Mus musculus: one gene and its partners. The protein of the gene in region 3 interacts with the protein of the main gene of each other region in a biochemical or structural test. Links are inferred from orthologs where the notes say so. Each region holds a gene or a part of one and is shown on either strand. Other genes may lie near its edges.

Evidence for each region. The genes of interacting proteins can lie anywhere in the genome.
Region 1: of the proteins of Mapk9 (region 3) and Elk1, one has a biochemical effect on the other in vitro, tested with the Homo sapiens proteins (2 studies listed by BioGRID). The link is inferred for Mus musculus from reciprocal best matches to the Homo sapiens genes MAPK9 and ELK1.
Region 2: the proteins of Mapk9 (region 3) and Junb form a complex in vitro, tested with the Homo sapiens proteins (2 studies listed by BioGRID). The link is inferred for Mus musculus from reciprocal best matches to the Homo sapiens genes MAPK9 and JUNB.

The regions. Positions count from the first base shown.
Region 1 is NC_000086.7:20,948,064-20,951,814, forward strand, and holds the start of Elk1 (ETS domain-containing protein Elk-1), read right to left. Parts: upstream 2,546-3,751; 5' UTR 2,377-2,545; intron 1-2,376. UniProt on the Homo sapiens protein: Transcription factor that binds to purine-rich DNA sequences. Forms a ternary complex with SRF and the ETS and SRF motifs of the serum response element (SRE) on the promoter region of immediate early genes such as FOS and IER2.
Region 2 is NC_000074.6:84,976,374-84,980,124, forward strand, and holds Junb (transcription factor jun-B), read right to left. Parts: upstream 2,376-3,751; 5' UTR 2,057-2,375; coding exon 1,022-2,056; 3' UTR 536-1,021; downstream 1-535. UniProt on the Homo sapiens protein: Transcription factor involved in regulating gene activity following the primary growth factor response. Binds to the DNA sequence 5'-TGA[GC]TCA-3'.
Region 3 is NC_000077.6:49,853,164-49,856,814, reverse strand, and holds part of Mapk9 (mitogen-activated protein kinase 9), read right to left. Parts: intron 2,603-3,651; 5' UTR 2,555-2,602; coding exon 2,433-2,554; intron 2,079-2,432; exon of another isoform or gene 1,882-2,078; coding exon of another isoform or gene 1,838-1,881; intron 1-1,837. UniProt on the Homo sapiens protein: Serine/threonine-protein kinase involved in various processes such as cell proliferation, differentiation, migration, transformation and programmed cell death.

The sequences.
Region 1 (3,751 bases), on a different chromosome or scaffold from region 3:
GAGGATAGACAGATATCTATTTATATAAGCTATATAGCATGTCTAACCATGACAGAGTATAAAGGGCCAAAGCAAGCAGGAAAGAGATCTGAACCCTGCTCGGTATACAAAATCAGATAGTCAAAGAGAGGTGGGTGTTGACTACTTTGATACAAAAAATGATATTTGAAACCTTTTTATGTATATACCTTTATACATTATATCCCAAGCACCAGTGTGACAAATACATGTTTTACTAAAATTACACTACCCAAGATGCAAAGACATGAAAGCACTCTCTGAAACATCTTTTCTATTTGTGCCTTTTCATATCACCAACATCACATTTCCTTTACGCTCATTTTATTCACAAATCAAATGACATTCTTACAAATATCTTTAGTGTGTTCCCTGCACAGGGTAGTGAAAAAATTCCTTTGGGTATGGCAAGTGTACAGTACCTTGAAAGTTACCATACAGAGATGTGGGAGTAGTGTTAATGGAGAAAGAAGAGCTAATGCAAAGGCCCTGAGGCTGGCCTGTACCGGCTGTTTTTGAGAAGCAGTGAGGTTAGCATGGCTATAGCATGGATCTGAAATGTGGAGATGAAAGAGATAAGGTCAGTGAGGTGACTTGTTTAACCCACACATTTTTTTCACACTGGAAAGGCTATAGTTCTGACTCCCCCATTTTAGCCCAGTACAGGAAGAAAGTAGTTAAGTCATTCATGTAAAGTCACACCACTGCTAGGACTTGAGCTGATGGGTCCTGAGAACAGAGTAGAATGGAGACAGCTCTGTTGTCAGAAAGAACAGCAGAAACAAAAGCTGGGTGATTGAAACTAATTTGGCTGTTAAGGAATGTGCCCTCATATGGGATGCAATGAGGTGAGAGAGGGGCATGTCAAAAGTGTTCCCCTATCTAAGTAGTTATTGGGCCATCTGTGAACCCACATGCCCTAGTTTTCTCAGTTATCTGTCTCACAGGGCTATGATGAAGACTGGAGACTATAAGCAAGCTGGAGACTATAGAATACTGCCTGGTACACAGCAAGTGTAAAGTATAAAGTTAGATCCGACTGTCATTAGCAATAGTACCACTACTATAGTTGAGAACTATAGCAAAGTAAAATGCCTAGTGGCTAAGAGTGTTTATGAGGGCTGGGCAGTGGTGGCACACGCCTTTAATCCCAGCGCTTGGGTGGCAGAGGCAGGCGGATTTCTGAGTTCGAGGCCAGCTTGGTCTACAGAGTGAGTTCCAGGACAGCCAGGGCTATACAGAGAAACCCTGTCTTGAAAAAAAAACAAAAAACAAAAACAAAACAAAAAACAAACAAACAAAAAGAGAGTTTATGAGGAACATGGCATATATTAAAAGTCCCTGGGTTTTACAAGTACACAGGACTTCCTAGGAGATGGGGGCAGAGAAGACTGACCCAATACATAGGAGGAGGAGGAGGGAAATAAAGTACAAAGCCTATCTATCCCCTTTGGGGAGGGATTGCAAGCTCTGAGGATTTGAGAGACTGTAAACACTGGGGTGGCAGAAGGCTTCTGAACAGACTCATTCATTACAAAAGTGAGATGTGGTTTAAGCTGATACCTATACAACCGCAGAGAAGAAAAGCCATCACATAATAATTAATTAAAGTGAAGGATAGGACAAGGCCATAGACTGGGCTGTTGAAAATGAAAATAAAAATTGCAAAGCACCAAACTGACCCACTGTTAAAAGGAAGCAGCTCAAAGACTGGAGTCTACAAATAAGGGAGAAAAGTTAGGGCGGTGATAACTAGAGGAATATGAATGCAAGCATGCAAACTAATTCACAGTAAGATGGGGGCAATGGGAGGAGGTGGATAAAGTCATGGGCTTATGCACTGGGGACTCAAGGGGGGCAATAATGTAAACTTAGGTGGACTCACTGTTGAACAAACAATGGGGTGTCTTAAGTGGGAACAGTGCCACAGATTGATTCACTACAATAAACATGAGGGGTTCAGTAAACAAAGCCACAGAAGGTTCCCCTTAAATTTGAGGCTAGGGGAAATGGAAACACTTTAGACACAGCTACGACTAAAGGGGGACTGGACAATGCAACAGACTGGTTTCCAATAAGTGGGGGTTGGGGAGGGCAAGACCACGGACGAGTCCATTAAGTTGGGGTGGGGAAAATCATAAGCTCACAGACAGATCCATTATACAGACAGCAGGATGTTAGCCCACGTTCAGATCTACTATAAAGGGCAAAAGGAGCAGGCAATGCACACACAGGGGCAATCAGTTGATGGTAGTGGAGCCAAATACCAGCAGGCTGGGCCAAACCACATCCCTTGCGCGGGGGTGAGGATACGTGGGGTCATGGACAGGGTCCTCCACCTTGTGGGCCTGGGCTCACCTGCGAGTGGCGCGGCGGTGGCAGTGGCAGCTCCGGGGGGCGGGGGCTCCATACGAGGCCCCACCGCCCCCCAGGCCCCGGTTCCAAGGCGGCGGCGGTGGTGGCGGCGACAGCAGAAGCAGCAACCAGAAGCCGCCCCTGCGTTTCCCCACCGCTCACGTGGGCTCTCATGGGAGGAGCCAAGCGTCCTCCTGCTTGCTGATTGGACAAAATGCCAAGGATCCTAAGCACAGGGGCCTGGGTGGTGGAGGAATACTAACAGAGCTGTAACACAATTGGCTTAAAAGGGATTGATGGACTGCGGGTGGCCAACTGAATCTATAGAGGTGTTGGGCGGCGCTAGTGCCTCACGCCGATTGGGTCAAGGAGGACTGCCAAGTGCCAAGGTTTGAGGAGGGATGGGGAGGTCGCCCAGTTCACACCGATTGGCTTAAGTGAGATTGATGGCAGACAGACAGTCCCAGAGGATGGAGGGGTGGTGATGGGCTGTTTTCAGCTGATTGGAGGATTCTCCCAGACAGTGGCCAAAACACCAAAGTAGGTGGTGCTGTACACCATACCGTTCAGCAGAAACAGGACTTATTTAGAAAGGGCCATAGCAGCAGGGTAGGACTCAACTCTGTGGAGGGGGGTAGGGTAACGCTATGGGTAATTAGCTAGGCAAAAACTAACTTTGAATTCAGCAAAAGGTGGAGGCCGGAATGGCTGCCGGATATACAGAGGAAATGTATATGAGAGGTGGAAATTAACTGTCTACAAGGGCAGAGTCTAGCCACAGTCAGTTGTAAGGGTGGATTTAGGTTCTTAGTGATCTATGACTGGACTTAAACCTAGGGACTGTAGGGGCTGTAGCAGGGAGGGCAGGATCTCTGCATACTGTTGAAAGTAGAACTATTAGAACTACGATTTAGGGACCAAGTCAAGGGTTGGGCAGTAGTGTTATTTAGGGTACCTGGATGACCACTGGACTGTGAGAGACAATAAACCTTAAGATCTGAAGTAAAAAGCTGACGGCCATGGAAACAAATTACTTTGAACTGGAACTGTAAAAATTTGTTTCAAGTGTCTCATGTAGCCCAGGATTACCTTAAACTTAAATCCTTCTGCCTCTATCTCTTGAAGTCACAGGTGTGCCACACACCTAGCTTATGTACACAGTACTGGGGACTGAATTTTAAGTTTCATGTGTGACAGGCAAGCATGCTACCAATTGAATCTCATCTTCAGCCCATTCAGTCCATTCTTTATGGTAAGACAAAGGGCACAGATACAAATATCTAGGAAAAGGAATTGTGAGGAGCAGGGCCAAGGTTCTAAAGGCGACAAAAGAGAGTAAAGCATAAAGTCAGGAGAAAAACACAAGTTCTAGGCAAGA
Region 2 (3,751 bases), on a different chromosome or scaffold from region 3:
TGGGCGCGGTGGGGCTCCGGCGCCGGTCTGTTGAAAGCCGCTCGGATGGCTCCCAGGGCTCATGAGAGCACGGCCCTCCCGCCGCGGGCGCCCTGGACCCGGGCCTGGGGCTTTCCGCGCCCAGAAAGCCGCCTGCTCGGGAAAATCCCGGCCCCCTTCCCGGCGCCGCGGCCCTGCCCGGCAGAGCGGGGGGGAGGGGATTCCCGGAATCTGCCCGGAGACCGCGCTGGCGTCACTGAGCTGAATAGGCCCATATATGGGCAGAGCTTCCGTAACGTCAGCGGGGAAAGCCCCGGCGCACTCTGCTGGGCGGGGTCATGCTTGCACATTCCGCGTTTTGTCCTGGGTAGCTTGTTCCCCGCCACTGCCCGCCTGCGCAGCGTCTGGTGCCAGGACTCAGGGGATAGGAGGTCTGGGCGTTTGTACTGAACCTTATGATACCTGAAAGGAGCGAGCTACAAACAGCACCGTGCTTGGGGTAGCCCAATCTTCTCCCTCCATCCGCCCAGCTTGGAAGAAAAAAGAGACCACAGAAATTAATAAAGACAATTTTTTTTTTACTTAAATAGATTCAATAAAAAGTCAAACACACACACACAAACACATCTTAAAATAGACTTTAGACACGAAGTGCGTGTTTCTTCTCCACAGTACTATGCAGAGGGGGAGGGCAGGGGGCGGAGGTCCCTCCCTAGTATCCCCGCAGGCTGAGTACCAAGCGGCGGGGCCAGCTCCGCCGCGACAGCCCCCTTCTCCCCTCCCTGTTAAATACACAAATATATTATATTCAATATGAATTCAGTCTCTTTGCAGAAAAAAAAAACATACAAAATACGCTGGAAGGGGGCCATGTAAACCTCGAGGTGGAAGGACTGGGCGCAGGCGGGCGGGCCGGAGTCCAGTGTGTGAGCTGCGCCCCAGGCCTTTTGGCGGGTGCCCATCGCCTGCCCCCCTCACCCCAGTGGGGGGCAGGCGCCCAGCCTTCAAGGCTGGGGGTGTCCGTATGGGGCAAGGGAGGCTCTCAGAAGGCGTGTCCCTTGACCCCTAGCAGCAACTGGCAGCCGTTGCTGACATGGGTCATGACCTTCTGCTTGAGCTGCGCCACTTGCTCCCGTAGGAGACCGGCAGCACTCGACAGCCCCGCGTTCTCAGCCTTGAGTGTCTTCACCTTGTCCTCCAGGCGCGCGATGCGCTCCAGCTTCCGCTTCCGGCACTTGGTGGCCGCCAGCCTGTTCCGCAGCCGCTTTCGCTCCACTTTGATGCGCTCCTGGTCTTCCATGTTGATGGGGGACACAGGCGGCGTGGCGTCGCGGCTGCGTGCCTCCGGTACGGTCTGCGGTTCCTCTTTAAAGGCGGAAGCGCCGCGACTCAAGCCCAGCTGTGCCGGGTGGCCGCCCGCAAAGGGTGGTGCATGTGGGAGGTAGCTGATGGTGGCCGTCGGGTATGAGCTCCCAGTCCCGACGGCGGTCCCGGAGCCTCCAGAGGGTGCAGAGGCTGGGGAGTAACTGCTGAGGTTGGTGTAGACGGGAGGCGGCTCCGGACCAGCATAGACGCCCCCTGGGCCGGCCTGGGGACCCCCGCTGGCGCCCAGGGACACGTTGGGGGGCGTCACGTGGTTCATCTTGTGCAGGTCGTCCAGGGCTTTGACAAAACCGTCCGCAAAGCCCTCCTGCTCCTCGGTGACGCCGCCCCCTGTACCTCCACCGCTGCCACCCCCACGGGGGTAAAAGTACTGTCCCGGAGGCGTGGGCGTCGTCGTGATCACGCCGTTGCTGTTGGGGACGATCAAGCGCTCCAGTTCCGTGGAGGCTAGCTTCAGAGATGCGCCTGTGTCTGATCCCTGACCCGAAAAGTAGCTGCCTGCCCCACTGCCCTCCGGGCCTGGACCCCGCGCCCCAGGACCCTTGAGACCCCGATAGGGATCCGCCAGGTTGAGCGCCAAGGTGGGTTTCAGGAGTTTGTAGTCGTGTAGAGACAGGCTGCCAGGGCTCCGACCGTATCCCGCCGCTGCGTAAGAGTCGTCGTGATAGAAAGGCTGTTCCATTTTCGTGCACATCCGGGCGGCCTGGGCGATCTGGGAAAGGTCCCCCTGAAGGGCCGCCCCGGGCCTCGCTGCGGCGAGCGGCGAGCTGTCCTCGGCTGTGGCAGGACCCGGTGTCCGGTCGCGCGTCCTCGGGAGCTGGAGACGGTCAGCAGCGGCCAGTTGGCAGCTGTGCGTAAAGGCGCTGCTGGGCTTCCGGAGATTTTCTCTCCCTCCGTGGTGCGCCTGCTTTCTCGGCGTCGCTTCCCTCAGTTCCCCGCTCCCAGCAGGATCCTACGCTGGCCTGGCCACCCTCAAAGTCCCCAGTGCTCGGCCCCAGCCCCAAGCTTTTATACTGAATTTGTCAGCTGCGGAAGTGCACTCCGATTGGCCGACGCGGGAGCCAGGCCCCCGCGGCCCCCTCCTAGAGCGTGGGGAAGGGGAGGAGGCGGCTCGCGTCACTGTCAGGAAGCGCGTGTCCTTGTAAACAGCGGCCACGAGCCGGGTGGCTCTGCGCGGCTGCAGGGGGAGGGGCTGTGGAGACAGAGACACACAAGCAAAGGGATGTTGAGGGGCCGAGGCACATAGGGGCTAGAACTGCGGGAGTACAGCCAGGTGCTTATGAGATACACTGCAAGTGGAGATTGGATACCTTAGGATATCCCCGGAAAAGTCTCGTGGGACCCAGGGTAGCTGTGGCTTGTGAACTGACAATACAGTAGAAGACCCCAGAAAACAGAGAAGATACAAAACAGGGGCAATTGTTAACATTTGGCCTAGGAATTAACCAGAGGTCCCGGGTACAAAGTGCTTAAAGAACTGGAATTGTCAGTTGGGAGGAAAGGGCCAAGACACAACAGGGCTCAGGTACCTATTGTACAAGAAATGAGTAGGGGCTCTAGAGTCCATAGATGAGTCTGAGGGTTTCCCCATAAGTGGAAAAGGGAAGGAATTTTGGGGAGGTCAATTTAGATATTCAGAACAAAGGTCCTGGGGACGCTGAGGTAATCGGAGTAGAAAGATGGGAACATATCTAGCAAAGGTTGGGGTCATTGTGGATATTTGCAGAACTCTGGCAGAGAATTAAAATGGTCACGACATAGCTTCCTTCCGAGCTATGAAGGCAATGACAGGAGGGTATCTGAGATCTTCCTGAGAAGATGACTCGGAGGATCCCAGAGACCAGGACTTGTACGAATGAGGCTGTACCTCGTAGGTGGTCCCTAGGGCACTGACATGCCCAGTACCTCAGCCCAAAGCCCTCCCTTAGTCACCCGGGGCTCGCCCGATATCCTGTCAGCTTTTGGAGGGCCGATGGGGCGGGATAGCTGGGGTGCGGTCGCCCAACCCCACTCCCTTCCTTAGAAACAGGCTAGGGAAAGAGAGCCGAGGCAGGAAGTGTGGCAACAGCCCCGAGGGGGAAAGAGCCCGGCCCTGTCTCGTCATTGTGAGCCTAGGGGATGGTGCACCCTACCCTGGGCCTGCCAAATTCTGCGCCTGGGAAGAGGAACCTCGGCAAGCGACCCTTGGGGAAGTCACAACCCAGCTACAGACGCTTCTAGTCATAGTCTGATCTCCCCCATCTAGAAATGGTTCAGCCTGCAACCATCGGCGACTAATAAGCCTGGCAGCCGAGGACTGTTCCATTGGCCGGCTGGAGGGGGATGCAGCCTGGGAGCGGGGCCTCGTCACCAAGGCAACAGGCTGGAGTCCGTGAATTAGATTGGGGGC
Region 3 (3,651 bases):
TGTCAAAGTAGCAGCTCACCCACTGTTGAGTTTATTTTAGCAAAAGTAAACTTTTTTGGTTTGTTTTATAGGAATGTGCCATTACCAGATCACCCTCCTATCCTATCTGATACCAAAGGATAAATACAAAAGTAGAAAGGGGGAGGGGAGAGGTACAATCACTTCTGAAGTTTTACTTTCCTATGTTAGAACTTAAGGTGGGTGGGTACTATAAAACTCTCAGCTACAGTTATAAAATTAAAGTGAGTATATATACATATATATGTATACACATACATACACACATATATGTATATATATATATATATATATATATATGTGTATGGAAGCATGTGTGTACATATGTATGTATATGTAGGTATGTATGGGTATATCTGTATATGTCTGCATATGTATTCAAGTATATATATAAATATATATATAAGTATGTACACATGAATATATATACATGTGCACAAATTCATGTATGTATATTTAAATACATATAACATACATATGTATACATGTTTCTGTTTGGTGCTGGCAAGAAACTCAGGTACTTTCACATGCTAGACAAGTGCTCTACCATTGAGCTTCCTCTCTAGCCCTACACAGTTCTTGAATGTAATCAGTGTCCTATGGAGATGAATATAATTTATTGAGAGATTCTAAGGAATTTTATTAATATTGATTTATTCATCATTATGAAGATCCTGAACAGAGATTGGGTCAGAGCCCTGGTCATATAAAAAATATCAGTGATTCAAAGTCATCAAGCTTTAACTAAGTGAATTAAAGTCCCAAGACACCAACAACTGCTTTAGACCTAGACCTACCCCCTGAACCCATGGGAGACAAAAGTCAATGAGCCTTCCTTGTCCTCAACTGCATTACATATACAGAGAGGGTCACGGAGGATGGCATGGTTATATAATATACACTATTCACTTCACTAAAGTAAACGCCCCCAAAGTAATTCCTGTTCCCCTTCGGCAATCCTCTTATCAAATTATTAATTCCAAATAAGAAAGGTTACAATCAAGCAAATATATAATATTCTTTCTATAATTTTCTATCATGGTGCTAGATTTTGGAGAATTTCAGATTTCAGATTTTGGAATTACAGATGCCTATCAGTAAACACAAATACTGAAAAATGTGAGAAAAGTCTAAACTCAGAAATACTCTGCTCCTGAGCAGTTGAGAGAAAGGACATTCTATCTGCACTAAAGCACATTTTCACTGTTAAGCCCCCACTGTGCACACACTCTTTCATGTAGCGCCTTCTCCTTCCTCAGTCTCTCCTCTGAGCCTCCTAATCTGCAATCCCGAGCACCAGGGCCCCGGCTGCCCTCACTGAGGAAAAGAGCAGGCAGGTCTCCCTGATCAGTCTGCAGCGGAGTCTCAGCTGAACCCACTGATGACGCTAGGCTCAGTGTCGTCACAGGAAACCAAAGCTCTCCTCCCAGAATGCCTGGGAGAGTTCTTTCATTTTCAATTCTCTTGGCCTACCAGTTATAAACATGAAATGTTTTTATCTTATCACAGTATTTTATTTATATATTCTGGGTTTTTGAGAGAGGGTTTTTCTGTGTAGCTCTAGCTGTCCTGGATGCACTTTGTAGTCCAGGTTGGCCTTGAACTCAAAGAGATCACCTGCCTTTGCCTCCCAAGTATGGGGATTAAAGGCATGAACCACCACACCCGGCAATCACCAGCAATCGCAATTTCTTTTAAAGACAAAAAATAATCTTGTTGATTAGCAGGGGGGAAAAAAAGCTTTGTTCAGAACACTACAGACTAAAAAGTTTGGGAGGTGCTGACAACAGAGGTCTAGAAAACACGTGAGAAACGTTACCTTTGTCTGGCCAGTGATGTCGCAGCAGCTGACTGTCTTACCATGCAAGAGCCTAAGGTTCAGGGTCAGACTAATGGTTCTGACGTCCTGGGCTGGACACATAGTTGAAGAGAGACACCAAAGAAGAGACGGCCAGCCCAACCCCTCACACAGCATCCCTTCCTGGTTAATCCATGGTGTGATAATGACACTGCCTGGCCTCATCCTGCCATTGAATGGCAAGGCACTGCAATGATGGCGCCTGGAAATGAACAGGAGTGATTGGGAATAAAAGGAGGAGGGGGGAGAAGGTGGCCATGATGAAGAAATGAATAAAACGCCAAATTCCGGTTACACCAATCATTCTGATATCATAATGGCAAGGCAAATGAAAAGATAACAAACAAATAAATCAATAAAGCCAACAACAGAGCAAATGAAAAATTGAGTTTGTATCCTACACATGACTGTATATAACTACAGCAAGGACTGATTTAGTTTAGCTCAAATTCTACAAGAGAGATTATTTTTTTAATCAGTGCTACTAAAGTCTTACTCAGTAGTTTCACTTTTTACTAAAGGCTTCGTCTGTGCTATTAGAACAGCCCAGACTTACCAAACAATTCCTTGGGCTCCAGAGCCGATCGGTTTCAGTTGCTGGTAACGTTTTAGAACAGTGAAAGTTGAGTCCGCCACCTGCACACTGTAAAACTGACCATCGCTTTTACTGTCACTCATGATGTAGTGTCATACAGGATCCTGAGGGCTGCTGCCTTCGTCAGACCCCTGAGGAGAGAGAGAAGCAGAGTGAGCTGATGAGCTTGTATGCATACACATACAGATTGTATACACAGTGGTTCTGATCTGCTGGGACTTCAGATGGCATGGTCAAAATGGGTAAATCAGCTTGGCCACGCTCTCCATTTAAGCAAGGGGCATATAACCCCCTCCACTCCAAAAAGACATTTCAGTAGTGTAAGATCATGAAACAATGAAAAGAAAGAATTAAAACAAGTATTTTCTAACATTTATTTAATTTATGCACCTGGGTGCTTTGTCTGAATGCTTGTGTGTGTGCCTGAACAGCTGTGAGCTGGGAATGGAACTTGGGTCCTCTGGGACAGCAGTCAGTGCTCTCAACCTCTCTAGCCCTGAAAGGAAGGGATTTTTGAGATGCACAAAGGCCACATCTTTTAAAGGACTGGATTATAATAAAATATCTTGGGGCTGCGACACAGCTCAGTAGCCGAGTGCTAGCATGCACAAGACAGTGAGTTCATATTAAAAACAGGAATGGGGTTGGGGGTGGGGAAAGAGCCACCTCTGGAGAAAAGAATCCACACGTTCTTCCCAGCCACAGCGAGACTACTATGTCACTAATGCATCGCATCCACTTCCTTCTTGTGCCATCAGCTTATGTCTAGAAGTCTCGGCCACAGATGGGGGCATTGTTTTGGAATGATTGATTCTAGAACTTCTAGAGATAAGTGGAATAGTCCTCTAAGTGTATGGATTCAGGTTCAAGTGATAAACCACAGATTGAGAGCCATATGCCAGAGACACAAGCCTTTTACCAGTATTAGAGACACTGGTATGAGCTGTGTAACCTACAGATGGGCCTGTTTCGTGAAAGTGGCCAGACCTGGCCTTCATTCCCATAGCTCTTTGCTATGGCTGCTCACATTCCATAGCTGGACTAGTACAATACCAGGCTAGCTGCCTTGAACTTGGGGATTAGAGCTGATAGACTAGGCTCAAGAATTATATAATTTCATCTCAAGATTTAAAATCATTCTAAAATGAAAATAAAGTTATCTTGTTAGGCAAGAAGAAAG